Linked DNA regions of Caenorhabditis elegans. The protein of the gene in region 4 purifies or fractionates together with the protein of the main gene of each other region. This does not show direct contact. Each region holds a gene or a part of one and is shown on either strand. Other genes may lie near its edges. The genes, in order: cey-1, ZC196.2, nhr-37 and vig-1.

Region 1 (7,374 bases), 9.7 Mb from region 4:
GTCGGCGATCAGGACAAAGTCAGTTCCTCTTATTTTTGACGCGTTGCCAAGCTTTTTGGAAAAAAACAAATTTCTATTTTTAAAATTTTTTTTGCAGTTCTACGAAATTGTACAGCATCCAACGTGGAGCGGTGCCGAGAAGAATAAAAAAATCGAAGAGTTCATGAAGACAATGTCCGACGAAAGACAGGTTAGTTTTTTTTAATTGGTTTCCAAAATTGGAGTACTGTAGCTACGTATATTCCAGTCCATGTACACCAACTACCGACGTGACGTCATTGATAAAGACCTCGAGGATAAGCGTCGCAACGTGGATCGTGCCGTGAGCCAAATGAGCAAAGAAGCGGTGGAAGAGTTCCAACGAGTCGTCCGAATAATGCATGATCCTTCTCAACCGGAGAAGGAGAAGCTCAAGAAGATCGAAGAAATCTACTCGAAGCTTCCAGATTCCATCCGCAAAGAGTTTGATGTGAAGCTGAAGGGATTCAAGTGACTCGTCTAAATAATACTTAATTTATTTGTTTAGTTAATTTTTTTTTGCTTTTTTTTTGTTTGAGTCAATTCAAAATGCAGAGCAAGAGCAATAATAGAAATCGTTTTTGGAAAATAAATTTAATGTATGTATATCAACTATTTCAAGATGAAGGGCGAAGAGGTACTTGAACATTAAAGATTCTCTCAAAAAAGGGGGAAAGGGTACAGATATATTATGCTTTCTCGTTTTTCTGTTAGCAATATACTCTCAGAAAGACAGAGCAACACAAAAAAACAAGATGGGAAGTCATCAGTTGGTCTGGTGTGTGTGTGTGGGTGCTTGCTTGTTGAATTACAGAGATTTTCGGTGTTGATGGTGTTACAAGAAAAGTTTTGGAAATCCGAAAGCGAAACAGGTAGAATTATATATTTTTTTGTTGGGAGGAGAATGGTTTAATTACGAGAATGATTCAGGTTGTGACGTGTTTTAGAGGGGGAGCTTAAAGTAACTGTACTGCAATAATAATTCACGAGTTAGGAAAACAAAAGAAAGAAGAAAGAATAAGGGAAAATGTAATATAGCGAAAGTTCAAAGTTGTGGGTGTGTGTGTGGCGAGATGAATTGGGGGAGTTGGGGGTTGAAATAAAAACCTAGTTGCTCTCTTAATTACTACGAGTGTTACTGGTTACTGGAAAATTACTTAGGCCTCGCTCTGTCCGCCTTGTCCTCCACGGCCTCCGCGACCGCGTCCACCGCGTCCACGGCCTCCACGACGGCCACCACCACGTCCTCCGCGTTCACCGCCCTAAAATATGGATGTTAAATTTCGATCAATTTAGAGTTTTGAGAATTTTAGAATGAAAAAAAATTGGATCTAAAAATACTAGTTTTAAAACCCACAAAACAAAAAAACCTACATCTGTGTCACGAGCAGTCTCCTCTCCACCACTGTTGGTACGGCCACCACCACGTCCACCGCCACCACGACGGCTTCCACCACGACCACCTCCACGTGGAGCACCACCTTCCTCGGCGTCTCTTGATCCAGAGTCGTGTCGGATTCCACCACGTCCTCCACGTCGTCCACGTCCGCGTCCACCACGTCCACGTGCTGCATTTTCAGCATCACGATCGGCAGCATACTTGGATCCTTGAACTGGTCCTCCATCTGGTCCTGTTACGCTGGCCGCTTCGAGACCCTTGGATCCTTCGACAATGTCGAACATGACCTCTTCATTGTCTCCAAGACTTCTCAAGTACTTGTTCGGGTTGTTGTTGATGATGGCGGTCTGATGGACGAAGATGTCTTCGTTGGTGTCAGTGCGGTTGATGAATCCGTATCCGTTCTTAACGTTGAACCATTTCACTGTTCCCTTCACTTTTGTAGCCTTCACTGGCTTGTCAGCTGGTTGCTCTGCCACGTCCTGAAATAAAACGATAATTAAGAAATTAATTAAAATTGCAAGATTTGCTTTAAATTTAGAAATTTTCAAATTTCATATTTAGAGCTCAATTGCTCTGGATTTATTAGGATCTCGGAAAGAAACGAATTTTAGAGCTCATTTTTCTTGTCTCGTTATTTTCAAATCTCAAGGAACATTGCCACTTCAAAAAACGTCAGCTGACCGCAATAATGAAAGTGTTGTTTTCCGAAAATTGTCTCAAATATTTTATTTGTATTTTGGGTGGTGGTGGTGGTCGCGTTGACCGATGACCCTCCATTCCGCGTGCTCTCCTTTCGCAGGAAAAGTAGCCTCGTCGGATCAAAGATCATAGAGACACACACTTACGTTTTTCTCGGCCATTGTTCCGCGCGCTTCTGTTCTTCCTCTGGTCTTACCGGCTGTTACTTCGTGTGGCGCGACACAACGATTGAAACCCTCGCTGAAAAAATATGAAAATTATGAAGAGTTGAAATTTGTGTGGGGTCAAGAAGCTCAAATTGGAAGAAAAAAGAAAAGAAATTGATAATCATAGGGAATAGCGGAAAAAAAAACAAAAATTATACGTTTTATCCGGTGTAGCACAGGGACATTTTTGGTCGAGAAATCATAAAACGGGGGTGGAAAGTTTTAAATAATTATTTAATTTTTCGTTTTCATACTTTCTATCAAAATTATACCTTCAAAAATTATTAAGAGCTTCGTCAGTCTTTCTTGTTTCAATATTTTCACAAAAATGTTATTTTTAATGTGATAATTTAATTTTTAAATCAGGAATTAGTTTAGAAATGTAGGAAAACGTTTGTTCAACCTGAAAAATTTGCCATTAGAAGTGACTTTCATATATTACTTGTAGTTTTTTCTCGAAATTTTCAAGTAATAAATATTATTTTCAGATCGAAAAAGCATTTTTCTGCATATTTAATGCAAATTTTTCATTTTAAAACTTAACACTGAAATTGACAGTTTTTACGTATGCGGTAGCTTTTGCCTTCAACATCAAATTATTCTCCTCATTCTCATCCTAATAACAAGAGTAATAAGAGAAAAAGTAGTGGGGGCGAATGAGTGCGAGTGTGTAAGCTGACCTTTCGATGCGGACACCAACATTAAACGATTGTTAGATACGAGAGAGATGTTGAGAGGTGCGGGAGACGGATGAGCAGCGGTCAGTGTAACAGAAAAGTTATTGGTTGATGAAGAAGTACACGCCGGAGCAGCTCTCTTCACTGAGCCCCGAGCCTCGCAGCTGACAAAATAGAGAACAAAAACAGAATAATCGATAAATGAAAGAGGTGTGCGCGGTTAGAAGAGAGAAAGAGGAGGAAGAAGAAAAAGAACATGAGGTTTCAATCCTTTTTTGGTTCGAAGAACTTCGCGTGACTTTAGAGAACTCTAGAGGCAGAGACACATGATTTTCGAACTATTAAGACTCAAAATAGGGGATTTAATCAAATTACTATTTAAGATAAAAATTTCTGACTTGCGAGGGTATCTTTTGAAAAATTAAATATTTTTCTCTAATAAAAAAGAGCAATCCTGAATATTTGACTCAGTTTGTCGTGGAAACCCGTTTTCATAGATATGCGAATTTTAATGAAGGTATATGTAAATCTACATCCATATTCTAATTTCTGAAAGACCAGAAAAGCAAATTTTTGGGAGAATCTAAACCTAGAAACTTCTTCTCCGAAACACTCCCCAATAAACAACGATTGTTTTCTCGAAGACCGAAAATTGCGAATTTAGGAATGTTCAGGTGGTTGTTGGGAGGAGGAGAAGGCGGCGAAACGAAACAAGAAAATTTTTGACCCGATTCCGTGCTACAATGCCTTTTGACCTTGCAACATTCTGCAGCAGCATACCAACAACGCCGTTGTTTGCCCTGTGTTAGCTTGAATGTTTTTGGGTGGGGGGTTTGCGTATTTTTCGAGCAAAGTGAGATGGTAAAATACTAGTAGTTGGTGAAACGAATAGCACTGTAATATTGAACAAAACTGGAGGAAGGTAGGCAACGCAGAATAATAATGAGATGGTCGAGAGAGAAAGAGATGAAGAAACAAAGAGATAGTGAACGAGCAAACAATAAACATTTGATAAGCGAATTGATGATGAGCCGGAGCACTGTCACAACACGGCCGATTCGAATGGTTCAAATACAATCGAAAGCGAAGAGAGAGAGAGAGTAAATGAACACCGAGGGGTACGTGTTGTATGCGTAGTTTCGACTGGGAGGCCACCACTGCTCGACCCGTCCGCCCTTCCCCTGCTGGTGCTATTTCGCCGTTCCTTGCACATTCTCGGTCTCCGATCTCTCTAGTTTCGGTCGGCCCGGGGCTTGTGTTGTTGGCCTCATACACACGAAGAGAAGAAGAAGAAGAAGAAGAGCGCAAAGGGTTCTCTCGCACACTCACATACCCCCACACACACACACGCACACGCACTCACGCACTGCTGCTGGCGGATCGATAGAGTGCTTGCTCTTTTTCTCTCTCGGCTTAAATGTGCTGCACAAAACTAAATAATGCATAATTTATCTGAAGAATCTCTGAAAACGTTGAAATAAAGAGCTAGAATGCGGAAACAAATTAGAAACTATACGCAGAAGGGGATTAAGAAATGCGAGCGAAGAAAACATTTTTTCTTCGCTTTTTTGTTTGGAGGACGACAATTAGATCGGCGGGAGACAAAATAGGTGAATTCCCGTGGATTTATTGATGGGAAACAAACAAAAGTAGACCACCCAGTCGGAAACCTTGTTCGAAATGGTTTTTGAGCGGGAAGACACCGCGGAAGAGGAGAAAATTGATGAAAATACACTAAAAAATTATTTAATTTTATAATTTTGCAGAAAAAAACTCGAAAAACGTTTTAAAAAAAGGCGAAAATGAAGAAAAAGAAGTTTGAGTTCGAAAAAAAAATATTAGAAAAATCAAATTTTGCTAATCGTTTCGATACCCATCGCTTGATAGGTATGCGCCTTTAAGATGATTACGGTAGGCATCAAATTTTCAGGCACAGAAAAAGTGGGCGTTTGCCGGGAACTGAACGGAATTTAAATGTTTAAATCAAAATTGATATCTAAAAAAAATTTCATTTTGAAATTTTGCGCAATCAAGTTGGCAATTTCATCAAAGGAACCCTAGGAGCAGGGATAAAATATTTTTAAAAACAAAAATTATGCTAGTGTCAAAATTGCATCATTGGTTATACTGGGTGATTCAATGCAGTTTCAGATAAAATCTAATCTTCGACAATCTCGGCCTTGCCTTTTTGATTACGTCATTGTGCGTTTTTTGTTGATAACCATTTATCCCAACCATTTATTTAGTTAATTACATGGGAAATATCAAAGATTGAGGCCAATTGATCAGTAACCAGGGCTGACACGTGGAATGGGACAAGCCGAACATCCTCCAGCAGACCCAGGAGGCCCAATATCTCCTGGTGGGCCTCTCGGGCCATTCAAGCCAACACGACCAGGAGCTCCTCGATTTCCAGGTGGACCCATTGAGCCCACTTGTGAAAATCCATCGATTCCTTTCGGTCCAGGAAACCCCATTGGTCCAGGTGGTCCAGATGGTCCACTTGGTCCTTCGACACCTCTTGAGTCTTGAGTCATTATGCCTGGATCACCTGGTGGGCCGCGAGGACCAATGCCTCCCGGATTACCGGGTGGGCCTGGAGGACCTGGGGGGCCTGGTGGGCCTGATGTAATATAGAAGTTTTTTGGGCCAGTTGGACCTGGAGTACCGCGGGGGCCCTGTAAGTAAAGACTGACTGATTGAAAAGTTTTAACAAATAGGCCTACTTTTGGTCCTGGAGGCCCTGGCGGCCCACTTCTCGCTGGTGGGCAATCAAAGCAGAAATCATCAATTTCTGGAAGTACGGTATCTGGAACATTAGCTCCAGGAACACCAGGATAACCTTCGGATCCATCGTCCCCGTCATTTCCATCAAGGCCCGGAATTCCAGGAGGCCCAGGTGGACCGAAAATACAGAATTGCTGAAACTAAATATGAAAAAACTCAGGTCAGGCAGGAACTACCCACCTGCTGTGGGCTGTGAACAATGGGTTGTTGAATCACTGGCTGCTGAACTACAACTGGCTGGGAGCATCCTCCACCTCCACCACATGAATGCACTGGATGTATAGCACACCCAGTCTCCTGACCACAATCCGATGGTCCACCACAATTTGTCACATCGTTACAGTAATTCATGAAGAATTGGCGTTTTCGACGTTGGGAAATTGCAACTCCTTTTGACGTTTCGAGCTGGAAAAGGAACCGTAAAGTTAGATCAAATTATAAAATCTGTAGAATTTGCCACCTGTAGCTGAGACACTGTGGCTGAGATCGTGGCGAGACCCAGCCGGAATTTACGCATGCACCTTTAAACTGGCATGTCAAAATTTTACGGAATCACGATACAAATAATTTCAGAAAATAGAAAATATGTAGTAGAAAGCTATCACGAAAATTGTGAAAAATGGTTTTTAAAAAATATTTTCTGATTTTCGAAAAAAAAACTTGATTTATTTCTGACAAATGTATATTTACATTTTCTAGACACTTTTTCGAACATTCCTCTGCTCGAGGCGTCGTTAGTACCTCACTCATGCCTTCCTATCGCCTACCTACGGTGCTTATTGTGTAGGCGCAAGGCAGTCATAGGTCGCCTTGAAGGTAGGAATAAGGCAAGTTTGTGCTTACACTACAGCAAACATGAAAGGAAATTTTAAAAAAAATTGAAACTCAGCAAAAATTGGATAAATTGTTGTGAAAATGTAAAACAGCCAAGAAATGGGCAGAGCCTGTATGTTAATATATTTCGAGTACTTTTCGATTTCCGAAAAATATTCTAAAAAATAAATAAAAAGCTAAAATAGACTCCGCCCATTTAATGGCTTCTTTCCACAAAACTAACCTGAGACAGAATGTCCCATAAATCGTGAGATCTAGACACACAATATCGTAGCTCATATTCTAGTTCGTTCTGCAATAGACTTCAAGCTAGCTGAAATTATGTTTTTTTATTGAAACCTGAAACGTCAAAGTCTTCGCAAATAAAATAACACTGCCAAATAATCCAAGTAATATCGCAGCTACAGTAATCCCGACAGAGATGAGAGTCACGACACGAAGTGTCCGAATTTCAACGTCATCTGCTTCCGGTCTATGCTTCTGCTGCTGCCACGTCATCAGAAGCCTAGAAGGAGCGGAAAGAAACAGTTGAATAGCTGTTAGGATGGAAGGATATGCAAACACTAATAGAGAATAAGTGTGTGGAGTATTCAATTCTAAAGTGTGAATAACTAGTAGAGAAGGAGAAGGATTTCGTGTTCTCATCTTAAGAATAAAAAAACAATTGGCGATTTTTCATCTTAATAAAATGATGATTTAAGAAAAACAAAAAACTTTTGTAGTAGGATAGAGGGAATGGGAAACAAAAAAC
Region 2 (8,429 bases), on a different chromosome or scaffold from region 4:
TCTTCTTTTCGGTATCAGGATAACTATCTGATCGTAATGTATTTTGAGAGCTCTTCTTAGGATCCAATACAATATTTTCATGAGTCGCTTGAGCAGTTTCCAATTTAGTTGAATTGCAGGTCACTCGGGGTACACTGCTTTTGGCTGATCCAAATTCTGTCTTTTCAGTAGACGTAACGTTCGCAGAAGGAATGGAAGTTTTTAGATAATCTTTTTGTGATGAGGTCGCTGAATTTGTTGCAGATGGAGTGTTTCCGTTTTTAATTCGATCCGGGGTTCTGAATGAGTAGATATCCGTTATCTGTCTCCAAAGTAAATTAGAATTACCGTAATTGAGGAGAGTCGATGTTTGCTAATTCACTTTGATGCTTTATGACTCTTATGGGTGGGCGTTTTTTAAAAATAGGACCATTATTTCTTGTTTGACTTATCGGCTAGAATAAAATAGAACTTCAGTGTTTTTCTGATTCCTCTCAATCTCCCACAAGTCAACATTTTACTGCAAAATTTTCACACTGAATTACAAAACAATGAACGTTGATAAATCTGTTCTTTTTATGGGATCTCACTACAAACCTCCCATTTTACAAATAAACTATGAACTAACCGAATTCATGTGCTTTTGCTTATACTCTTCTTTTGAAACTATGAATATCCCTGTCTTTCAACTGTAAAGTGACACATTAATGATATATTTTATTTTTGAAAACTCACATTCGCCAACACTTTTCCGTTGTTAGAAACAATTTGAACATCCACTCTTCCTTGTTGTCTTGCTTTTTTTATTATCAAATCAGCAACATCTCGGTATTTGAAATAAAAAACATCCCAGTTCTGAAGCATAATCTTGTTATCTAACTTAAGAAATCAATATAGACTAACTTTTGAATCAATTGCATGTCTCAAATCGTTTAGAAAAGAAACAATAGTCTTCTCATTTTCAATCCCGGCATCATGTTTAGAGAAAAGTTGTTGACCACTGATAGTGAGTGTAGGAAGTAATTGAAAAATTTCTTGAAATTCGTACAATAGTGTTTACAGGCAGTGCTCTTTAACTGAAATATAGATTAGCCATTTATGTATTTACTTACTGCTGGAAAATAAACATATTTCAGTTGATCACCAAGTTCTATTATAGAAGCGTCATATTTTGTTAGAAATTCATCAAAGTAGCCCTGAAATTATTAGATACTTAGAATATGAAACAATATATTGAAAACTTACAGTTTCAGTGCATTCATTAAAACAAGAAATCATTTCTGCATCAAAACAAAAATATTGGACCATTTTTCTGGAATACTTTTTGTTTTGCAGTGAAACTAATGAAGTTAGTGACTGAAGAGAGATAGAGAACAGTGAAATGTATTGCTACGTCTAAATTGTGTTTTCGATAAGAGTTTGTGTACATGAAATAGGTATGAGAAAGAATTTATTGAAAATGTGAGAAATACCGAAAGAAAAATCAATCATCTCACACTTTCATTAAATTTGGGAGGGGTTTATGTCTTATGTCTAAACTATGAATAATGAAAGTTTATCTTCTATCTGCAACAAATATTCACTGGAAAACAAACAAAACGGTAGAACTATCATATGTACAATACCAAAAATCAGAATCTACAGTTAAATACAATCAAATTAACAGGTGTGTTCTATTTATAAGTCCTCGTAAAGTCCCGCGAAAATCTTACCACATTGTCCAACATTTATGCGGTTGTCATCTACACCTGATATGAGAAAATGTAAAAGGCAATTGTTTAAATTGTTATAATCTTCCAAAAAGTTCTAAATTTTATTAAAATTTGTAAATAAAAAAAACAGTAATTTCTTATCAATTCGCCCAGAAGATTCTTTCCGTTATGCCAAGTTGTTCCTCCATAGTTCTCAATTCGTCTGATTCTCTCTGTAATAATGCATGTTTTTGGTGGTCTGGCCCTTGAATAATTTTAAAGTTTCTATTCGAATACAAAATTGAAAATTGATTTTTTTTCAATAAAAAACCTTAAAATTTTAAATTCGGTAAAAAAACTTGGGCGTTCAAAGTTAAAAACAAACCACGCAACAACTTTACTTTTCTTTCAAATGAAAATTAAATTCATACTTGAAGCTCCTCTCTTCTTTTCCTCAACTCATTCATTTTCTCTTCTGCTATTTTGTTCTGCCCATCTAGCACTTTTTCGAAATCTTGTCGCATTTGTTCCAATTCCTTTTTTGCGACTATTGAAAAATTATCGTCCAATTCAAAAACGCGTCTAGAGTTCCCAGGACTATTTGACAAACTTATTGTTTCCATAAATTGTGTTAATCTTGATATCCTTTTTTCGAACTTTTCCTCCAGTCTCATTTCCATTTCTTTCAATTTTAATTCAAAACTGTCTTCTAATTGGGACTTGATCTCATGAATTTTATCCACAAATTTTATCTGCAAAAAAAATTATAAAAAGAACTTTTAAAAATAATATATTTTTTAATTTTAACCTCAACTTCCAATTGATTTTTTTTTTGAAACTCGTCTTTTTTATCACAGGTGGTTCCAGTTTGATCAGCTTGTTGATTTTCGCCTAAAGGCACTTCAACCAGTTGTTTAGTATACTAAAACTATGATTGTTATTTTTAGGTAACAAATTAACACAACCTTTAAGCTCTTTGAATTTTCATTATTTTCTTGTAATTGTTTGGCTGTTGAATGATGTGAACTTTTGCCATCATCAGAAACATTTTGAATAGGAGATGATTGTCTCGAAGATTCTCTAAAAAAAATTATTGTTGAAGTAGATCTCTCTTAAGATATTTCAATTAAGAAAAACGAAAACTCACGATGCAATTTGATCATTTCTAAAATCTGGGCTGCTTCCAGTCCCAAGAATAATAGGTGACTTATGGACAAGTATTTTCTCATTAGGGATGCTGCTCCAGAAACTTTTCAAATCATCAATATCTTCAGATTCAAATTCACATGATTCTATTTTGAGCTTGTATGATTTTGCGTTCAGGCTAACTTTGTCGCTCGATCGAAACTTGACAGATAATTGCCTCGCTTCTCCAGGTTTCAGCAAATCTGAAGCAGTAGATTCAAATTGTATTTATTAGGGTGAGCAATAAGTTTTTTCGTATTTTCTCAGTTTTCATCCTTTCTGAAATATTTTGTATGTGGTACATAGTATTCTGTTAGTAGTGCAAAATATATTGAAACCATATATTTCCGCCCACTTCCAAACTGATTCATCCTCAAAACTTCGCTCGAAAAAAATATCCAATTTTTTCGATTTTTTCGGATTCTTTGGGAAATCCAAATTTTACTAAATTTCCTTCGTTCAAAAATATTACAAAAAATACATTTTGATTTTGAGAGGGTATAAAACCGACATCGTAAAAGATATAAATACGGATAAAACGACAATCTTGTTCTTCAGATTAATAGCAACATTTCTGCAGTTGAACACTTTTTGATATCTAAAACCAGTAAAAAGTGACAGGCTATTGAGTCAGAGGCACTCATTTTCGCTGAATCTGCCACATTCTTACATTTGCCTCCGTAGATTTGTTAAATCTTAATTTATCAGAAAGTGTTCAACTGCAATGTTGTTTATTACATATTTGTGCACAACTTTTCAGTTGATCAGTTTTTGATAACAATGTTATCCAGGAAGTTACAAGCGTTGGAACAAAAAACACCAAAGATTGAGAAAATTTCTCTAAATTTGAATCAAAAAAATTCGAGAAAAAAAAATTTTAAGATAACTTTGCGAATTGCACGTATTGCAAAAATCAAGTTAAGACAAAAACAAAAAACACATTATTACATGTTGTGATTTCATATTCAACAAGTTTGGTCGTTTTTGTGAAAAATGTTTTTGATAAATTCAGATTTAACAAAACTACGTAGGCAAACGTAAGAATGTGGCAGATTCAGCGAAAATGAGTGCCTCTGACTAAATAGCCTGTCACTTTTTACTGGTTTTAGATATCAAAAAGTGTTCAACTGCAGAAATGTTGCTATTAATCTGAAGAACAACATTGCAGTTTCATCCGTACTTATATTTTTTTACGATGTCGGTTTTATACCCTCTCAAAATCAAAATGTATTTTTTTTGCTGTAATTTTTTGTAATATTTTTTATATTTTTGAACAAAAAGGGAAAAAGGTATCTAATACTGCTCAGTTCTGAATTTAATTAATATTATGTATACAACTAATGGTCTAATACCTCACGGAGTACTGACATTTGGATTTCCCAAAGAATCCGAAAAAATCGAAAAAATTGGATATTTTTTTCGAGCGAAGTTTTGAGGATGAATCAGTTTGGAAGTGGGCGGAAATATATGGTATCAATATATTTCGCACTACTAACAGAATACTATGTACCACATACAAAATATTTGAGAAAGGATGAAAACTGAGAAAATACGAAAAAACTTATTGCTCACCCTAATACATAAGTAATTTTTTGAGAAAAGTTTTCTAATAAATGTGACTTACCAGGATTTGGTCGACTGACATACATATTTGGTACACTCGTTTTCACTTTGAAACATACTGGTTTCTCAGATATATTTTTCAGAGTAACATAGGCAGTATCAGTCAGATTTGTTGATTTATTGAACACAAAATTGTCGCAGGGAGTCACTTCAAGAAGAATTGTTTTACCACACATTCCTGAACACATTCAAAATTAGCGAAGAAACGTTCAAAGAGCAAAGAAACTTTCAAGAAAATGAGAGAAACGTTTTTCGAAAGAACAAACGCTACGAATTGCTATGACTAAAACGCGAGAGAGATGCTGATAAGATTGTTTACAAATTAATGTTGATCACACAACTAAACAAATCTTTTTTATTTTGAGAACACAATATTTTTGTCTTCAAAACATAAAATCATGCTCACAAGTATAATTATGGAGTCTTCCACTTCTGAGTGTTTTTTTTTCAATAAAAACTCACTCAAAAACTCATAAAGATTATAACATCATTTTCAGCATCTTAAAAACGTTTTTTTTAGTAATTATTATAACCCCAAACATTCATTTACAATTACTTACAATAGCTAAAAGATAGCTAAGATTTGTGTACATATTTCAACATCTTACAAAAATTCATTCCAAATAAATTGCAAAAAAAGTTCCACAGTTAGAAGAAAACAAATCATGATAAAACATATTCGAAACTTGAGAGATTATAAAAACCACGATTTCACTTTTTAAATGTTTTATTCTCTACGACGTCTCAATGTGAGTTCAACTCTGTTTTCTACCTTCTGCAAAACTGATTAGGTTGAACATTAGACTCTTCCCTAATTTTGTCAAAACTAACCAGCGATAGGTTGATAGGATAGATAGGGTTGTTGAAAGAGACGAAGTAGATTTACGAAACACTGTTTTGAACACGGAAAATGAAAGCAGATCTCCGATGTTTGATGAACACAGAGACGGTGTGTAGAAAACTGCCTTGAAAATATCATACTTTTTGGATGTTTTCAATTTTCCTCCAAAGGCAAGAAACTTGTTTAAATTTCTCTAAGTTTCTATAATTTATTTGTGATTCTGAAGGCATCGAAGTATGTCGATTAAAAGAAATCAATTTTTCATTCAGTGAATATAATTTGTAAATACATATGTATGTATGAAGTGAATATAAATATAAATTATCTATATCACTTAACAAATAACACATTTACTTTCAGAAGTACAAACTTCTTCTGCTTGAACATTGTCTTGTTCGTGGATCACGACGTAACTCTTGAGGTGTATCTTCGGGAATTCTAACTGCTCATAGTTGGAAACGACGGCTTTTTTGCAAATTTTTCGTAGTGATGTTGTTGTCGGAATGTCACTGAGCTTTATCATAAAAAACAACTTTTCGAGTTGTTTATACCATTCGTGGGACGGGGCGTTCACATCAAGAATATTCAGAATCGATGATAAAACAAGTGCAAAATCAATTATACTTTTCTGAAAATTGGATTTTCATTGGAAAGATAATACACACGAGAGTACCTGTAGAACTTTGATGAATAATGCATCTGTAGCTATGTCATGTTGTTCACCGAGTTGGATAAACAGAAACTCAAGAGTATCAAATAGGCTTAATACACATTCTGAAAGAATTGATATTTCTTCATATGCATCTTGAAGTGATTCCGACGGTAAGCGTTTAAAATATTTCCATTCACGCGCCTAAATGTTTAAAAAAATTATGTTTAAACACTAGCAAATGCAAATTACCACATTCTGAAAATCTCGAAAATATTCTAGGAATCTCTTGATCGGTTGCTTATAGCAATTTTGAATCCAATCAGCAACTTTTTCTTCCTTTTCCTCAAATCTTTGTTTTAATCTGATACATTCAAATAGTGCAATAAAACGATTTTTCATTTGACTTTGAATTTGTTCTAATTCAGCCTCGAACTCTTTCTATAAAAATACAACATTGCTAGAAATTTTAAATTATTCCAATCATTACTTTTTTCAATTCTCTTTTCTTTTTCATCTCTTCCAATTCTTTGGAATTAATTGCCTCTTGTTGTTCCAACTTCCTTTCAAAATTTTGATCATCTATATATGAATCTATTTCGTCCTGGCATGTGGATTCAAACTCACGGTTTTCTGGTTTTTCAGACTGAAATATGAATCCTAAAATTACAACTACTATTCTAATGATTCTACTACAACTACTATTCTAATGATTTTTTTGTAATCTGCAGAAAAAAAAAACAAAGTATGAAATACTCACAATATTTCCCAGTTTATAATAAGTGTACCTACGAAAATCTCTGTCTTTGAACTGAAAGTGTAGATGGTTAATTCGATCTTTAATTCCAAACTTACACTTTCACATGAATTATTACCAATCTGAATAGAAATATCAACGGTTCCTTGTTTTCTGGATAGTTCAATGATTGTATCAACCGCACTTCGGTACTTGAAATAAAAATCAGTCCAATTCTGAAATGAAACCGATCTTCAAAAAGGATTCAGTTAAAAACTCACAGAGCTGAAAATCGCATATTTTAAATCTTCTAAAACTTCTGGAACATATTTTTCAAGTGATGAGGTGTCGATCATTTCAAATTCTGAACTCTCAGGGTTCCAACTAGACAAATAATCAAATAATGGTATAAAATTTTTGCAGAGCGATATCTCCAGAGTTCCCTGAAACTTACTCAATAGCGAAATGTATAATTAATAGAACTCACTTTATCAAATGATGTTTTTTCAAGATAAGTGTTTAGTGACATAAGAAAATCAAGATTTTCTTTGTAAAACTTCTTGTAGTTACCCTGTGATTTTTTTAAAATTAATCGCTAGTGAAAATTAATGAAGAATTACCTCGCCATCGCATTTATTGAAGTTTTCAATCATTTCCACATTTATTTTAACGGCGGGTACAGATTTTTTAAAAAATGTAAAAAATGAGGACATTTTCTGGAATATGAAAAGAAATAATATTCAAAATTGCTGATATTTCACGACTGTAAAGTGAACGTGATATTTATTGTAAAAAAATTACAGTGAGCAATAAACAATAAGGAATTAAACTATAGTATCTTTTTCATGATGAAATACCGATAGTCAGGAGGAAGCTGAACTCTTATTTGTGAAAAAGATTTTGAAGAGAACGAAATATAAAATAGAAATGAAATTTATAGAAAACATTACTCGAAAAGTAAAGAAGACATTATCAAGTCTTAATTATAATTAATTTAATTTAATTTAATTTAATTTAATTTATTTACGCTCGCGAGGAGACGTGGAAAAAGTTGAAGGAAAAAGAAAAATGTACACATACAATATATCATAAATACAATACACTGAATAAGAGGGATAAAAACAAAAAGAATAAATAGGAACGAAAGTTTGTTAACAGGACAGTTAGGTCAGGCGGGAGGAAATAATGTTATGTGGGTAGTTCATGTTGCAATCATCAGTTGTCAGACATCTCGTTATTCAAGATCTGATATATGTTTTAGAAACTTGGGGTTACTCAGCGTACGGTTTACAATAAAATGTTTTCTAGTTTTAGTTTTACATCTGCTCCATGAGACTTTCTTTTTGGAACGAGTTCGTGTGTTTTCAGAATATGTAAAAAATTGAGGTACGTTGAGATCTAGTTTACCATTAATCATCTTCATAATAGTTTTTCTGTCATAGATTTGGCGCCGCGTTTGTAGTGTTGTGAGCTCAAAAAGTTCATTGCGTTCGGATGCAGATTTATACTCCGGGTCAGTTGGCGAGATGTATTTGCCTTGTGTTCTACTGTATAATCGTCTAGTAAATGCTAGTAATTTAATGATAATTTTGATTATGAAAAATAGGAGAAAATTTTATTATGATATTACACAATTTATTACAAAATATATTTACTAAATAGAAACGATTAATAACAGCCTCTGCTGCTCATTAATTTTTCGACTTTTTTGGTGCTACACAAGTT
Region 3 (8,301 bases), on a different chromosome or scaffold from region 4:
GTTTTCGTTGAACATCCAATTTACTTGTTGAATTGCCTGCGTATGTTTATTTGGATCATTGTTATGATTTGAAATCATAGACAACGGCCTAGTAACTCTTTGCGAGGTTATTCAAAACTCAATCAATTATTCGATTCAAGCCAGCCAAGCAAATTATAAAGCTAAAAATTGTCATGTATTCTGGTTTTATTTTCAGGATTTCAAACTTCATTATTAATTCAATCGAAAAACTCTATCAATTGTTTTGCCTTCTAGCATGATCAATCAATAAACCCGAATGAGCCAATTAATCTTATCTTATCAGTTGTTGAGCCAAACAGCCGACCTCTTTGTCCATTCTCATTTGACCCCACTCTAATCATTTCTTCGTTTTCTTGAAGAATGAGATATTTTCCCCTTCTACTTTGCCTACTGGCCATAACTACAGCAGAATTCCGGAATGCTACAAAGCAGGTTCCAGTGGTCATGTGGCATGGAATGGGTTAGTTGTAACTTAATTACTGAAAAAGTGCGAACATTATGATTTTTAGGTGACTGTTGTTGCAATCCGTTGTCTATGGGATCTGTGAAAAAACTATTCGAGGAGCAAATTCCTGGAGTTTACGTTCACAGTCTTCAATTGGGATCTAGTATTACAAAAGACATTGAGCATGGATTTTATGCAAATACCAATGAACTTGTCTATATGGCATGTATCAAAATTAAGAACGATCCTGAACTAAAGAATGGATATAATGCGATCGGATTCTCACAAGGAGCACAGTTTTTGTAAATCGCGTTTATTGAATTTAAATTTTAAAAAATTTTGTAGAACGGCAATTTTTCAGGAGAGCGGTTGCCCAAAGATGCCCAAATCCACCAATGAAGAATTTGGTGTCAGTCGGTGGTCAACATCAAGGAGTTTTTGGAGCCCCGTACTGCATTGGTGACAATATTATGTGCAATGGCGTGAGACGTCTCATTGACTTGGGAGCTTATCTTCCATTTGTACAAAAACGGTACGAGTATTTTTTGTCTTTCATTTCATTATTTTTAACAGTTTTCTAGAGTTGTTCAAGCCCAGTACTGGCACGACCCAAATCAAGTCGAAGAGTATAAAAAACGTTCTATTTTCTTGGCTGATATCAATAACGAAAACGTAAGGATTTTTAAAACATTTTTTTGAAGTATTAATTAATAATTTCTGTACATTTTGGTCCTTTTTTGTTTTGAAAAAACTGTTTTTGGTGATTGAAAATTATAACTTTTTCTGTAAAAAGATGCGCCGGGATTAGTTTAATGAACGGTGGTGCTTTATTTTCTTTTCTAAAAATTATTCCTGCCGGTTGACATTTGAATTTCAAAATCGTTAGAAAATCGTAATCATTAAAATAATTGAAAAAAAAAGTATTTTTGTTTCAGAATAACAACCCGACTTACAAACGCAACTTATTGAGTCTCAAAAACCTGGTTCTGGTGAAATTCAATCAAGATCATATGGTTGTACCAAAGGATTCATCTGTGAGTGGTTTTTTTTGTTTTGCAGTTTCCGAAAGTAGACTATAGTCGCCTATAGGCGAGGGTCGCCAAAAGCTTGTTAATGCAGGCCGGAGTTTTCCCGAGTATTCTCATTCTAATGGGTACAAAGAGCCACACAGGCAACAGACATTTTGTACCACCTGTCACGGTTCTCACGCTGAAATATTTTATAAAGTCTCAATAATTTATTCCAGTGGTTCGGGTTCTACAAAGACGGTGATATTGACACAATTCTCCCAATGAACGAAACCGACCTGTACAAAGAGGATCGTATTGGATTGAAGAAGCTTCATGAGAGTGGACGAATCCATTTTATGGACGTGGATGGAGATCACTTGCAAATTCCAAGAAGTGTGCTTGTCAACGATATTATCAAAAAATATTTTATGTGAACTTGTTTGATTTTCAAAAAGAAACAACTCGTATTGTAAAACTCGTACGTAAAAATGAATTATGAAATTATCATGACTGGTTGTGTGAGCATTTTCTTGATTTGGGTTCCCATCATTTTCTAAAACATCTCGAAAAAATACGGCTCCGAGATTTCGGCATGAAAGATGTCAAAAAGCCAGAAGAGCTCCTTGATCTTTGATTTCTCACGAGAGATTCTCTAAAAATAGGGGGAAAATCAGAAAACTTAAAAAAAAATTTGGCAAACCTTCATGGATTTGACCAGTTTCATAAGAATCAGAAGCCGATGAGAATACATTTTGATATCCGTCCGATTTGTATAATAAACGTGCATTTGGTCAGCAATTTCTGCTCGCATTTGTTCGCAAGCTTCTCGTGTTTCATGAGAAAGATCACCTTCTAAAATTAAAGTTAATAAAAATTTGATTGATGTTTTTTTTTTTTACCTTCAAGTCCAATAAGGTGAACCATACAAAAAACGACTTCTTCCGTAGTTGGCTTGAGATCAAGAAGTGGCCTTGCAACTTCATCTATGTAACGGTGTAGGAAGGGTTCGAATAGTCTGAAAATTACAAAAATACAAATATAAAAATGTTCAAAGATTTTTCATCATTATATCTTTCTCGACATAGCGGCAAAAATTGTTTTGTTGAATTTTCAGTATTTCAATTAATTTTATAGTAAAGAAAATGCTGTATCAAAATGTGATCCTAAAACCAACGCAACTTTGAGTAGGCTTTTCAGAACATTGACAAATTTCAATCAGCGAATTGTGGGCATTTCAAAGTTTTTGAAACAGAAAACTCACTTGTTGAAATATTGATTCGTGAGATCAGTTATCGAGGCAAAGTCAATATGAGTTGATTCCAATTTCATTGCGAGATCATCATTGATAAGTATATACTGAAAAACAGTTGATATTTTTAAAAATAATTAAAAACTATTCTCACTCCTCCTCGAATGACTCCTTCTTCAAAAATCTTGACAGACATTTCTAGGCGCTCAAATGTTCTAACGACATTCCAAGAAGATCGGAAGAGCTGCATTTTTTGATCCATGGGTAGAGACATTAAAGATTTTGAAGAGGAAAACCAACAAGAGTACATATAGATTCGATCATTGAGCCAATCAATAGCAGATTTCAGCTCGACTTTGTCAAGAAAAGAGATTTGACTTTGAGCTTTTTGATTTTTCCTAAACTTTTTCAATGCAGACGTCAAAGTAGTCAGTTCACAATCGTCGCCTTTTGTTTTATGCTGAACATAAAATAACAAAATTTTCACTTTCAATGTTTTTCGCTTCAACTTACCGAAAATGACGTTTCAATTTTCTTCACCAAGTCATTAAAACTGATAACCATGTTCGGCTTATCCGGTGTTTTTGGCGAGAAGGTGAACAAAAAGTTCGGATCAATTCCAGGTGACTCCACCGAGTTCTTCCGGCTCAAGTTGGTCGGGCTGTAATCAGATTGAGCTGGGCTTCCATTTGGCGTAGAGAATTCGTCCTGAAATGTAGTAAATAAAATAATTGTTTTTAATTTAAAAAACAAAACTCACACTTCCACTATCCTCCATCAAACCGCGAAACGAGTACGTTGGGTCATAGTCCAATTGAACTTCTGAAAAATGAGTATATTTTACTAGAAAAAGAAGAGAAAAAAAGAAGAGAAAAATAATTGGACTCTGTAAAATTTGCAGAAAAAAACGCTTTTGGTTAAATTCCAAAAGAATGGCAGCAAAATTTTTGACAGTAATTGAAATTTTATTTGTGTTTTGGAAAGGATTTAGTTATTTCACCACTAGCAAAAATGAGTGGTGATTTTTAGCAATTTTCAAAATTCAACATTATGTAAAAAAAGGAAATAGGGCACTTTTGTATTTAATGCCCTCATTTTGAAATTATTTAAGCTATAAAAAAAACCTTTGGAATATTTTTGTAATTTTCGGACTTCGGAAAAAATCCTTTCTAAGCCTAAAGAGTAAAAATCAAACATAGAGATGATCTAGAAATTTTGTTAGGATTTTTTATTTTTCAGAAAAAATTATTTTTCTGCGTATTCCACAAAACCTATTCACATGAAGTTTTTGAAAATTTGTCAAACCAATTTTCGCAACAATTTTTCACAAAAACTTTTGATGTAAAATTTTTTGATGTGCACGATATGCACTTGAAAATCTTGCAAGTTTTTATTTTTTTGGAAAAAAAAACATACTCTCTTCATTCATCCCGATTGCTTTGCACTTTGTCAGACGACACTGCCGGCAGACATATCTATAAACAAAACGTGAATTTTCTGATTTTGAAGACTATAGTAACTCACCTTCCACGACCATCAATATTGCATTTTGAATTCCCCTGCTTACATTTATACTGTAATTTCAGTACAGTAGCCCTTCGAAAGAATGCGGCGCACGCTCGGCAGGTGAGTGCACCGAAATGCATTCCATTTGAAGCTTTTTTGCAAACCAAGCATGACTTGTCAGGTACCATTTTTAGATTCTGAGAAGGAAAAAAAGTGTGATCATCATTTTGTAATATGCAAATTGGGTGTTGTCATTCTAAGAGATCTCTACCAGATATGTTATTAGAGAAATGAAAAACGTAGAGAGGAGAGGAAAAGATCAAGTGACCACCGAAAAGGGTTTATATTTGAGAAAAAAAAAGAGGGAAACTTGAAGGAAAAATGAACGTACCTACATGTCAAATTTTGAGACTGAAAACCCAGCCTCAAATCACAAAGTTATCACAGCAATTTTTTGGTACTTTTCTTCACATGTAAGGCAAGATCAGAAGAGAGACATTTTCGGCTGGGGGAAGACGTCATGTCGGCATGTTCTCTGATCGTTACGCTGGTCGAAGACGTAGGAATCTCAGACAAACAATTAAAATCTCACCCCCTTCCGAAAAGAGATAGTCTAGTTGTAGTGGAAGGAAAAGCATAATGACAATTATCAGGATGAAGTGGTGAATTTGGCTAACCGTATTTTCAGAAAACTTTAGCTGGAGTTGTATGAAACGTTTTAAAAATGTGCCTAGGGATACTATAGATACTGAAAGTTCTTAAAATAGAAAACTCAGAAATTTCATATTCGATCTGATGATAAAAGATTTTGAATTTACTTTCCACTTGAAAAGACCACCTCAAAAATTTGTTTCAAAATGTTTTTATGTTCGATGAACCAAAAAGGAAAAAAGTCAGAAAAAAAAGATTTTCGGAATGTGAGAATTTTGGGTTTTCTTGAATTTTATAGGAAAACAATCCCCTTCTGATTACTGCTACATACATTGTACAATTTTTTTAAAAGTGCACACATTGGTACATGATTTGTGATAGAAAATTTTAAGTCAAAATTGTAACTTCGATGGAATTGCGGAAAATCAGAAACAAAAACATTTTAGAATTGCTAGATTGATAGTGACCGATTTAGAATTTTGGATAAAATACGTTGAGCTACTTTATATAGAGGCAACCGATCTTGTCCATCTAATTCGAAACATGTATGTCTTTTGTCGTTTCTATGTTCACATCTGTCTGCGTCTCTTCATAAATTGTCAATCTCTAGCTGTCAATTGCTACTCGGTCTACGAGCATCGATTCACACGCGACCTGTGTTCGCCGAATTGGACTTCCGCAAAACTTTCAAAAGACTAATGTCATCTGATTAGTCTGCGTCTCCGATAGACTGTCATCTGCAGGTAGCCGTCCACCATCCTTGCATCTTCATTGCCAGCCTCGAACCTTTGCCAAACGCTGCAAACTTTTGACAGATCCCGCCTCCCGACCCGCAAGATGATTCGTTAATGCGTTTGGGCCCGATGTCTTATCGTCGCCCTCTACAACACTTGACTCATGAAATAGGACATGGAGACCAGAAAAAGAGAAAAATATTGTGTCTGTTGACGGGGAAAGTTGTTCATTTTTAGGGCATATAACTGTATATATGTTTCAAAAGTTCCTGATCTAGACTGATTCAATTGGGAACAATCATTTTTCTATTCATTTAGATCAGTTGATAGACATCAGATATGTTTTCTCCGATTTTCTTACCCGATGAGTAATAAATTTGCCAAATATGTAGTTCGCATATTTTCCGAGATATCATGATATTTTGTCAATTTGCAAAAGTAGCATCAAAGTAACAACTAGTACAACAATGTTATTCATATAAATTCAATTCACCGCTTTATTAAGTATGCATGTCAAGGAAAACTATTCCCTCAAGTTAAAAAAAAATAAATACAAATAAGTTTAGTCCTATAGTACATAAACTGAAGACTAATTTCAAGTTAACAAGTCTACCATATTTTCCCTACTGGATTTGTACCCCAATTGCTTTACTTTGACGGCTCATATCTCGGTTGTACTAAAATTAATCACAAATATACTGTTAGTGAAATACAGAAGATTATTTAGCACGTATTTTGTCAGTTTACAGTTTTCTGACAAAAGCAAACGAAACCAAGATATTAACTGCCAAAGTGCAGCAAGGATGTGCAAGTATAATAGGGAACATATGGCATGTACAAATGATACTGAATGATACTGAACCTTTGCTCTATTTCCATTACTTCAATATATTGCAATTTAATTTCACGGTTTTGACGATTCCATTATATTCTTGCACCCCATCCACTTTACCATATTTAAATTTAATTAACTACAAAACTTTTGAAGAAAAATCATACATGTTTTGTCAGTGGCAAATCATTTTGCAAAACAAAAGATTGTCAGGGTTGAGCAATAAGATGCATTACTAAACGTGGAAATAGTATTTTTACAAGATTCAACTCCAATAATTCCCAAGCATCCTTTCTTGCATAGCCTCAAAATCTCTGCTGCAACCCAAATAGATGTTGTCTAATTTACGGTAGATTACTCACTGCGTTTGTGCCTTATGTTTCCTGCAATTTGGCTAACAGGCCAACCAAATCACCCTAACATCACTCACAAATAAAATTCTCAAGTTCACTCTAACTTTTGATGCCCATAAACATTATTCCATTCTAGTAGCATGTTTAGAGTTTTACTTTCAACTTTCCGGTTTGATATATATCTCCATTATGTTTGATGAAAATTATCAACAATGAAAAATATACTTCTTGGTGTATAATAGTGTTTTTTTCGGAAATAAAACCTATAGATGAAACTACTAACTACAACAGTGTGTCACATTTTTAATCTGTTTTGACTCCACCAATTATTTCAATAATACATTGATTTTTTATGAAGCCGAAAGAAAATGTTTTTGCAACTGTTATATAAACCATTCCTTACATTCTTTGAAAGGCGGTCTTCAATTAAGCTACCACTTAGCTGATTGGCTTGAACTACGGTACGTTGCTAATTAACGAAAATGAAAATAATTTCGTTCAAACTAGACTCGATCGTCTTATGTGATTTTATTGCGCTTAACGATCAACGATTGATATCTTACGTCCCCAGTACTTGAATGGAATTTTGAGGGCACTTGTCGGATTTGTGTCAGATTTTAGGAATTAAAGGTTTGCAGCAGAAATGTATAAAGAAGAAGTTGTAACAGAAGCTTGAAAATTTTTTATCGTAAGTAGGTTTGAAACTTGCAGAATATGTATCTGAACCAAGCTTCTCTTAATTTTCTATACGAATTTTTTTGAAAACTTTTTATACGATTGCACTAGTTCTCTCATGCAGATAAATGTTGTCTGCTTCCGAGACAAACTAGGTCAGTTTTGTGCCTATTCACAAGTAGACGTAACGGAAAACTAAACAAGCGGCGATTTCCAAAATTGCCGATTGCCAAAAGTTACACCAAAATAACTAAGTCGATAAGTTCTGCATAATTAAAAGCAGGCTTAAGAGTTTGGTTACACATTGTTCTATTTTTGAACCTCAAATTTCGGGTTTGTATTCAGAAAATGACTTAAATGGCAGTTTATGTTTTGGCAAAATTTCATAAATTTAAAAATTTGAATAGAAGTGAAAATTATCAGACTTTTTGATTGCACTCCTGTCTTGGTTCATCGAATGGTTTTGAAATAAACTTGTTTTCAAAGATTCCAAACCCCCAATTTGAAAAAAATCTAACAAGCGGTTTAAAAGCACGCTTTTTTTATTACATACAAAATTTCATTTATTGTTTTTCCGATTGTTTTTCCGAGTGACCCCTACAAATTTTAAAACATCAGTCAACATTGTTGTTTCATTGATAATGAGCTCAACTCAAAAATTGATCTTTCGATTTTCACCCGAGTTGCCGTTCTTTCAAATTTCTGACTGTTCATATGAGTTTTGATGTTGATCTAAACATAAATAAACAGACTAGACAACGAATCAAACAACAATCCAGTACAAAGAGCATCTTCTCTTTTCTTGTTCTCTCTCCACAACTCTCA
Region 4 (7,921 bases):
GACACTCACAGCACGGCGAGCAGCTCAAAATCCGACGATAAAATGCTCAATGGCTCGGCGCCGGCTCACTCACTGTTGGATGCTCCAATTGATGAAAAACCGAAGAATCTTCCCGTTGTCGACGACGAGGGATATATTGTTCGAACGACGACAACTTCTGAAAATAATGCCGACTCATCAAATCCAACAGCATGGTCCAGTTGTTCTAGTGATGAGGAGGAGGACGAGGATGAGCTTCAAAAGTCGAGAATACGGAAAATGACGATTTCCGATCGACCTGTACATATTAATGCGTCGGTTGATGAATTGAGAGATGCTATTGGAAGTATTACGTTGACGAGGAGTACCACTTTTGAAAGGGTTCGTTTTTAAGGGGAAAAAATCAATTAAAAAACGAAGAAATTGGTCTGCTAGACTACAAACTACACAACTGGATGAGTCTGCGAGACTAGTATAAACTAGAAAAAAATTAGAGAAACCAACAAAAAAATTACAGTCGGAAATGGACAATTATGTACTATTAAAGTTGGGTCTGCTAAATCTAGTTTTGTAGTTTGTAGTCTAGCAGACCATATTTCTTCAAACCCACTTGGGTCTGCTAAATCGAAAATTGTAGTTTGTAGCCTAGCAGACCCAAAATTTTCAATTTTCGCAAATTGGAAACTTGATGAGTTTTTCATTTTTTCAGTGTGGAAATGAATATTTTTCGAATAGAAATTTTAAAAATTCAAGTGTTTTGCGATTTTTAAGTGGAAAATTTTGCAATTTTTGTGTTTTAAGACAAAAGTGCGTATTTTCATATAAAATTCTGAAAAAATCAGAACTTTCGGCGGAAAATTGATCCAATTTTGAAATTTTTGAGTGAATTAGCATTGTATTCCAAAAAAAAAAAACTAATAAAAAATAAAAATTTTAAGCTGACAACAAACAGTTTTTAATATTGGTCTGCTAAATCGAAAATTTTAGTTTGTAGTCTAGCAGACCCAAACTTTTGTGTTTTTAGATTAAAAAACACAGTTTCAAAGAAAAAATGCCTGTTTTTACCAAGTTTCTTGGCTTTTCAGCTCAAATTTCCCGGTTTTAAATGCGAATTTCATAGATTTCTCAACAAAAAAATTCAAAATTCCATTAAAAATGGCTGAAACCTCAAAATTTTGACAATTTGTAGGGTCTGCTAAATCGAAAATTGTAGTTTGTAGCCTAGCAGACCCAAATTATTGTGTTTTTGGAGTAAAAAAGCACGTTTTTACTAATTTTCTTGAAATTTTCAGCTCAAATTTCCGGTTTTTGAACCTATTTTTGTAGTTTGTAGTTGAAATCTTTCAGGATCCCTGGACGATTGGCGGAACAAAAGCTCCACTGATGTTCTCTCAGTCGATGAATGTCTCTTCCCTTCGGCAACCTCTACGCTCACATCACACTGCTGACGGACGGTTTAGGACTAATTTTAGTGGTAATTTAATATTCTTTCTTCGATATTTTAAACTTTTCTAGTAGAATTTCCTAAATTTGAAAAGAAATCCTAATTCCAGAATCCGAGGATCCTCCTGCCTTCTCCGTTTCCATGGGTCATAACCAGGCGATGGCGGCCGGAATCGCACGAGCTCGGCCCCGAAGCAACACTCCCACCACGAGCCAAATGATGAGCCGGAAGGACTCGGCGAGCAGCTTTATGGATCCGTGGAGTAGTACTTTCAATTTGGCGCCCAGTGAATCGAATCATTCCCTTGGAGAATCCACGTTTAATTTGTCACAGTCTACCGGGAATTTATTGCAGGTAAGGCTTCAGGCTTCAGGCTTAAGATTCAGGGTTCAAGAAACTCGAAAATGTTGATTTTTTTTTCAAATTTCAGGCCACAATATCCGAACAGCGAATTCCGCTAGCCATGGCCATCAACGAGCACGTGCATGTTTGGTTCAAAAAAGGAGCCGAAGAGTTCATTCAGCGCACTTTCGGCACCGTAATGATATCATTTCCAACGTCATCAATAACTCTTCTCACGTCCATCCAACACGAAATTGAGCCACTAGCATTCCGGCTCTCAAATGCTAAATTCATTAAATCAGTGCTCCCCAACAAGCAACTTATCGATGAGAATGTGAGCAAAAAGGACGACGAGATGTGCATTTTCTACTTTAACAAGACCCATCTTGCCACGTGGCTTCAAGCACAGAAGCTCGCGAAGCCGGATGCGGCATTTGTGAACGCGGAGGTCGCGCGGTTCGAAATGGAGCCGACGGCACCGTGTAATATGGTTCCGCCGCTATTCCTGACGTCGTACTGGAAATTCGAACCTGGACACACTGGTTCGTCGAGAAATCTTCTGTGTTTTTGAGAAAATTTGAATTTTTAATATTAATTGCGAAAAATTGATGGGTCTGCTAATTAAGAGTTTGTAGTTTGTAGTCTAGCAGACCAAAATTTCCTAAAAAGCGCAGTAATTGATTGGTCTGCTAAATAAGACTTTGTAGTTTGTAGTCTAGCAGACCAAAATTTATTAAAAACTGCAGAAAATTGATGGGTCTGCTAATTAAGAGTTTGTAGTTTGTAGTCTAGCAGACCAAAATTTATTAAAAACTGCAGAAAATTGATAGGTCTGCTAAATTTGATTTTGTAGTTTGTAGTGTAGCAGACCAAAATTTATTAAAAACTGCAGAAAATTGATGGGTCTGCTAATTAAGAGTTTGTAGTTTGTAGTCTAGCAGACCAAAATTTATTAAAAACTGCAGAAAATTGATAGGTCTGCTAAATTTGATTTTGTAGTTTGTAGTGTAGCAGACCCAAATTTTTTATTGAAATTGGCAAAATTGCTGAGTCTGCTAAATAAAATTGAGTTTTTTGTAGTACTTTTTAAATGCAAACGCCAAAAATAAAGCCTAATAATAAAAATCCGCATTTCTTTTCAGATCTCCGTGTCGACTATCGCCTCAACTCAGAATCTTCCATCTCGGCGCCACTTCTCAACGTGAATTTCAGCACAAATTTGACGGGAAGCGTGGATTCTGTGATGTGTGAGCCAGAAGCCAAATGGGTGGCTGGAAATCCGTCACTCGGCTGGAATTTGCTGGAAATTTCAAGAAATGGAGATGTGCACGGATCGCTGAAAGCAAGGATATTTATGAAGAATTCTGGGGTCGGGCTTTTTAATTGCTTTAAAATAAAAAATATATAATTTTCCAGGACGAAGTAAGCTTGGAAATGCTCGATCGGAAGCCGGCGCAGGTCTTCGTGCAATTTCAGGTACTAAAAACTGAAATTTAAGCTCTTAATTTATCTTTTTCAGTGCCTGGAAGCCAATCTATCTGGAGTGGACATTTCCCTAGTGCAATCGGATATTTATCACCTGTCTATGATTCGTAAAAAGGTGCTCGCTGGTAAATATTTTTGTGATCCCGAGCTGCGGAAATAGAGAAGATGAAGAGCTTTTTAATTTGATTTTTGTTTTAATTTTTCTGTGTAAATATAGCATAATTCTCGCGAAATCTGTGATTTTAACAAACTTTCAACTTCTAGTTTTCCAATTTTTCACCACCAAACGAGTTTTTCCACTATTATTCGTTATCCCCCGCTGTAATAAATACTTTTTCCCGGCATTTTTACTTTTTTTACACACATTTTGGGCTGGAAATGTCATAAATTTCTTTTCAAATACTTTAAGACAACAAAAACAATTGGAAAACAAGTTTTCCCCCAACCAAAAATTGATTGAAAATGGCCGAGGACTAGTTTTCGATTTCAAACTGCCGCCCATTTCGGCGGTCGCATTTGGCTGCGTAGCGGCTCGCAAACGCCAGTTTACACTATTGTGATACGCAGCCAAACCTTCACCTGTCCGATTTGAACAGTTTTTCCGATTTTTTTTGACCGTTTTCGCCGGTTTTTTGTAATTTTTTGGGTTGCTAGCAGTAAATCACCGATTTTTGATCAAAATTGCACTGAAAAATGTTTATTTTATTCCGAAATAGTGGATTTTGAGCAATTGTTGATTTTCTGACTTTTGATTCGATTTCTTTCTGGAACATTCAAAAATTCCCTTAAGAAAATGCAATTTGCTTTTTTTATTTTTTGATTTTAGTTGTGAAAAGTGCTTAACTGATTTAAAATATCGCAACGGTGTCTGGCTAATTATACTCTTTTCTTAAATATCGATTTTTGTTTGAAAATTTGAAATCTAAACTAACGTTCTTGCAGGTATCCCCATATTATGGGTTATTGATTAACTTGGCATTGAAATTATTGAATTGAACAGAAGCTTCCTGCACTTGGAATCTTATCTTCATCGAATCAACACAAACAGCAAAAATGAGCACTGAATACGGTTGCCAGGTCACCAACAAGTTCGGTCTTCCATCCGACGACGACGATGGTGAGTGGTTGATGATGATGATCGCCGGATGATTATCTTATCTTCCCGATGGGATATTGCGCAATATTCATATGCGATATACTCCGCCCAGAAGACATTATAAAAAATCGATAATTTGCAGAGTATGACGACCCAAGAGAGCTCATCCAAAAGGTGTCTCAAATCGCCGCCAAGAAGAAGGAGGAAAAGTCTGTGAAGCCCGCCCAGCCGGTCAAGCCAGCCGCTGCTCCAGTTGGTAAGAATTGGCATTCCTATTCTTAAATTAATTAAACATTATTTCAGCCGCCACCAAAACCGACGGTGCTGCTGGACGTGGACGCGGAGGACGTGGTCGCGGACGCGGGGGAGCCGGCCGTCCACGTGACGGAGAACGTGTCTCCAACGAGAACGGTGATCGTCCACAAGGCGAGAACCGTCGTGGAGGACCCCGCAGAGGCGGTGAGCGCGGTGCTGCTCGTCCAGCTGGGTAAGAAACGCTTAAATTTTTAATTTTTTTTTTCATTTTACTGAACTTTGTATTTTAGACGTGGAGGCCGCGGAGGATTCACTCGCGAGAACAGAGAAGGAGAGGAGCCAAAGCAAGAGGTCTCTTTCGAAGACGGACAAGATACCCGTGCCCCAAGACGTCGTGGAGGATTCACCCTTGGAGGTGGACCATCTGGCGGACGTGGAGGAGGCCGTGGTGGACGTGGGCGTCAATTCGATCGTCAATCCGGATCCGACCGTACCGGAGTTCGCTCATTCGACAAGAAGGACGGACACGGAAAGGGCAACTGGGGAGACCAGAAGGACGAGTTGGCTGGAGAAACCGAGAACATTGCTCCAGAGGGCGCTGAGAGCACCGAGCCAGAGGTTCCACGTGAGAAGACCGCTGAGGAGCTCGCCTACGAGGCTGAGTTGGCTGTTCTTGCCAAGCAAAAGACTCTTAAGGAGTTCAAGGCTGCGGCTAAGGTGAGTCGTATAAAATATTAGTTTTGGAATTTATTTTTTTTTTTGTTTCAGGCTGACGCTCCAAAGTTCAACACCAGAAAGGCCGGAGAGGGAGCCGCCGATACTTTTGGCAAGCTCGTTCCAATCAAGAAGGAGGTCATCCCAGATCGTGAGGAAGACGAGGTCGTCGTAATCCACAAGGCTCCAAGAAAGCAAGTGCTCGACATTTCGATCACTTTCCGCAACGATCGTCCAGAACGCGAGCGCAACGACCGTTCTGAGAGGCCGCAACGTGGAGGACCAAGAGGAGGTGGACGCGGTGGAGGCCGTGGAGGACAACGTCAAGGAGGTCATGGAGGACGCAACAACACTCCATTCAACGCTTCTGACGATGCTTTCCCAGCTCTCGGTGCCAAGTAATTCCCCCCCCCCCACTCAACGACCTTCAGCCAACCAACCAATTCGCCCGCCCTCATTCAAATGCTCTGTTCTTCTCTCCATCTTGTTTTCTTCAAAATTCTCCTCTTTTCAATATCTTTGCCTGTGCCCATCTACCCCACAAATTGTTCGTTTCCAAAATGCCTGTTTCTTATTTTTCTTTTTTTTCTAGTTCCCCCATTTAGCTTGTTGTTGTTATCACCTGCCTTATCGATCTCTCTTCTGATGAGTTGCCCTCGATTTGGTTTGCTTGTTATCTCCCGTTTTTTCTTTAATTTTTAAGCCCTTTGAATCCCTTGATCTTCCACATACACCCACCAAGACGACCTCTTCTTTACCAAATATTTGACACAACAAAAGGTCTCAATTGTGTCAAGGATCAACGAACTAGTACTAGGAAACTCAATTTGTGCCCCTTCCAACCACCACCCCATTGCGCCCAGGTTTCGTTTTAATTGGAGTTTGTTGTTAACAAGATTTGATAAAGCATCATTTTTGTGTTAAACACCCCAATCATTCTATATCACACACACACACAAACACCCATTTTTCTTCTTTTTGCCTCCACACACCCCCCCCCCCCCCCCCCACCCAACTGTATCCGTATTTTGTAATAAAACGGTCTAAACCAACCACAGGGGCGTGGCCTGACACATGCCATTTCTAGGCCGCGAGCCGAGTGCTCTGATTCTCTGCCGCCTCTTTTAGAGAGCCGCGACGTCTTCTTCAGCGGGAGAGAGGGAGCACCCCCCCCCCTCCCCATTGCTCGGCAAAAACTTTTGCTCTCCTTTCACTTCTTATTGATTTCCCTTCTGTTAGCCGCCTAAATTAGAATTTTTAATTCTTCAGATTCTCAATAGAGCGAGCTTGCGTTCGAAATAATTTAATTTTTAATTAAATCTTCCTGCGACTCTTCTCTCTTTGGAAATTGCTATTTCGCAAGTTTAGTAACGATTTTATGACAGCAGCGGCGTCCGAATTTGAAATTGAATTAGGTCCCCTGAGAAGCTTTTTAGACTATAAACTACAATTCTGAAATGGCAGACCAATGAGAATTTGGTCTGCTAGACTACAAACTAGAGTCTGTGTTTAGCAGACCCATGAGCTTTTGAAGAGTTTTGGTCTGCTAGGCTACAAACTACAAGTCGTATTTAGCAGACCCAAATTATTAGAGTTTCGTATGGGTCTGCTGGACTACAAACTACAATTATTTAACAGACCAATCTTAAATTAAAAATTGACTGAATTTAGGGATTTTTTTTTCAGTTTTTAGCTCTCAAGACACTGTTTACAGCAGAAGAGAAGTACAATTCATTTTATTTTTAAAAAAAATGCTCAAAAATGGTTTTTCCCTTAAATTGGTCTGCTAGACTACAAACTACACAAAAGAATTAGACCCAAGCTGACGTGAGTTTTGGCCGATTTTTGAAAGTTTTATCATGTTTTGAATGAATTGTGCTGCTGTGTAACAGATAATTTTTCAAATATTCAGTTTTTGTCAACATTTTGCGAAAATTAGAGCTTCGAAATGGGCCCCCCAAATTGGTCTGCTAGACTACAAACTACATTTTGTATTTAGCAGACCAAAATCTTGAAGACCCCGCGAAAAGTTGTATTTTTTCTCCAATTTCCCCTTCCTTTTCCTAATTGAATTCCGTGCAATTCAGTGCCCCCCACCCGAAGCTTCTTCTCTTGTCTGACCTAATTTGATCTACCGGGATATCGGAGTGTCGTAGTGCTGCCACGTCATTTTTTTCTGTGTCTCCTTAAATACATACTAATTTTCAATTCTAGAGAATAGGAAATTTATGTAGACTATTAATATTAATGTTTAAATAAATTTATGAGGAGGGTTTTGTGTTTTGGGTCTGCTAGGCTACAAACTACGAAAATTTGTTTAGCAGACCCATTTTTTTTCGATTTTTCGATTTTTTTTTTACTTAAAACTACACTTTGTCTCGTTTTTTAGCGATAATTAAAAAGTTCTGACTCAATTTTCAAATTTCCGGGGTACTGTAGCGCCACAAGTACGCAAACACCGAGCATCTTACGACAAAATGCACAGAAACTTAAAATTGTCTGAAAAAGATGGACCAGGGGGTAAAAAAAGGCCCTGAGTTTGAATTTCATAATGAAAAATTGCTAAAATTCATAGAATTCAAGTCATTTTTTAGTTTCTAGTTATC

What was found.
Region 1: the proteins of vig-1 (region 4) and cey-1 fractionate together in Caenorhabditis elegans (co-fractionation; one large-scale study listed by BioGRID). This does not show direct contact.
Region 2: the proteins of vig-1 (region 4) and ZC196.2 fractionate together in Caenorhabditis elegans (co-fractionation; one large-scale study listed by BioGRID). This does not show direct contact.
Region 3: the proteins of vig-1 (region 4) and nhr-37 fractionate together in Caenorhabditis elegans (co-fractionation; one large-scale study listed by BioGRID). This does not show direct contact.

What each region holds. Positions count from the first base shown.
Region 1 is NC_003280.10:11,038,848-11,046,221, forward strand, and holds cey-1 (CSD domain-containing protein), read right to left. Parts: upstream 2,360-7,374; 5' UTR 2,281-2,359; coding exon 2,266-2,280; intron 1,900-2,265; coding exon 1,393-1,899; intron 1,281-1,392; coding exon 1,176-1,280; 3' UTR 501-1,175; downstream 1-500. Other genes in the region: srlf-15 (SXP/RAL-2 family protein Ani s 5-like cation-binding domain-containing protein), read left to right, coding at 1-18, 98-190, 248-493; col-83 (Nematode cuticle collagen N-terminal domain-containing protein), read right to left, coding at 5,288-5,680, 5,729-5,923, 5,970-6,194, 6,847-6,915, 6,963-7,121.
Region 2 is NC_003283.11:8,735,662-8,744,090, reverse strand, and holds ZC196.2 (Major sperm protein), read right to left. Parts: upstream 4,656-8,429; 5' UTR 4,655-4,655; coding exon 4,480-4,654; intron 3,059-4,479; coding exon 2,818-3,058; intron 2,751-2,817; coding exon 2,636-2,750; intron 2,593-2,635; coding exon 2,479-2,592; intron 2,423-2,478; coding exon 2,102-2,422; intron 1,904-2,101; coding exon 1,832-1,903; 3' UTR 1,780-1,831; downstream 1-1,779. Other genes in the region: ZC196.3 (DUF713 domain-containing protein), read right to left, coding at 5,654-5,947, 5,993-6,172, 6,221-6,409, 6,459-6,614, 6,729-6,779, 6,824-6,940, 6,986-7,147, 7,192-7,275 and 1 more; ZC196.4 (Death domain-containing protein), read right to left, coding at 8,396-8,429.
Region 3 is NC_003283.11:6,618,386-6,626,686, reverse strand, and holds nhr-37 (Nuclear Hormone Receptor family), read right to left. Parts: upstream 4,494-8,301; 5' UTR 4,420-4,493; coding exon 4,250-4,419; intron 4,201-4,249; coding exon 4,142-4,200; intron 3,548-4,141; coding exon 3,486-3,547; intron 3,434-3,485; coding exon 3,239-3,433; exon of another isoform or gene 3,232-3,238; intron 3,186-3,231; coding exon 2,880-3,185; intron 2,833-2,879; coding exon 2,738-2,832; intron 2,492-2,737; coding exon 2,376-2,491; intron 2,329-2,375; coding exon 2,177-2,328; intron 2,129-2,176; coding exon 2,030-2,128; 3' UTR 1,911-2,029; downstream 1-1,910. Other genes in the region: ppt-1 (Palmitoyl-protein thioesterase 1), read left to right, coding at 382-481, 531-768, 828-998, 1,048-1,138, 1,402-1,500, 1,713-1,910.
Region 4 is NC_003280.10:1,316,845-1,324,765, forward strand, and holds vig-1 (Hyaluronan/mRNA-binding protein domain-containing protein), read left to right. Parts: upstream 1-4,192; 5' UTR 4,193-4,303; coding exon 4,304-4,367; intron 4,368-4,488; coding exon 4,489-4,602; intron 4,603-4,649; coding exon 4,650-4,833; intron 4,834-4,891; coding exon 4,892-5,318; intron 5,319-5,369; coding exon 5,370-5,717; 3' UTR 5,718-6,229; downstream 6,230-7,921. Other genes in the region: fcho-1 (FCH domain only protein 2), read left to right, coding at 1-360, 1,327-1,453, 1,533-1,777, 1,854-2,307, 2,908-3,134, 3,182-3,241, 3,285-3,410.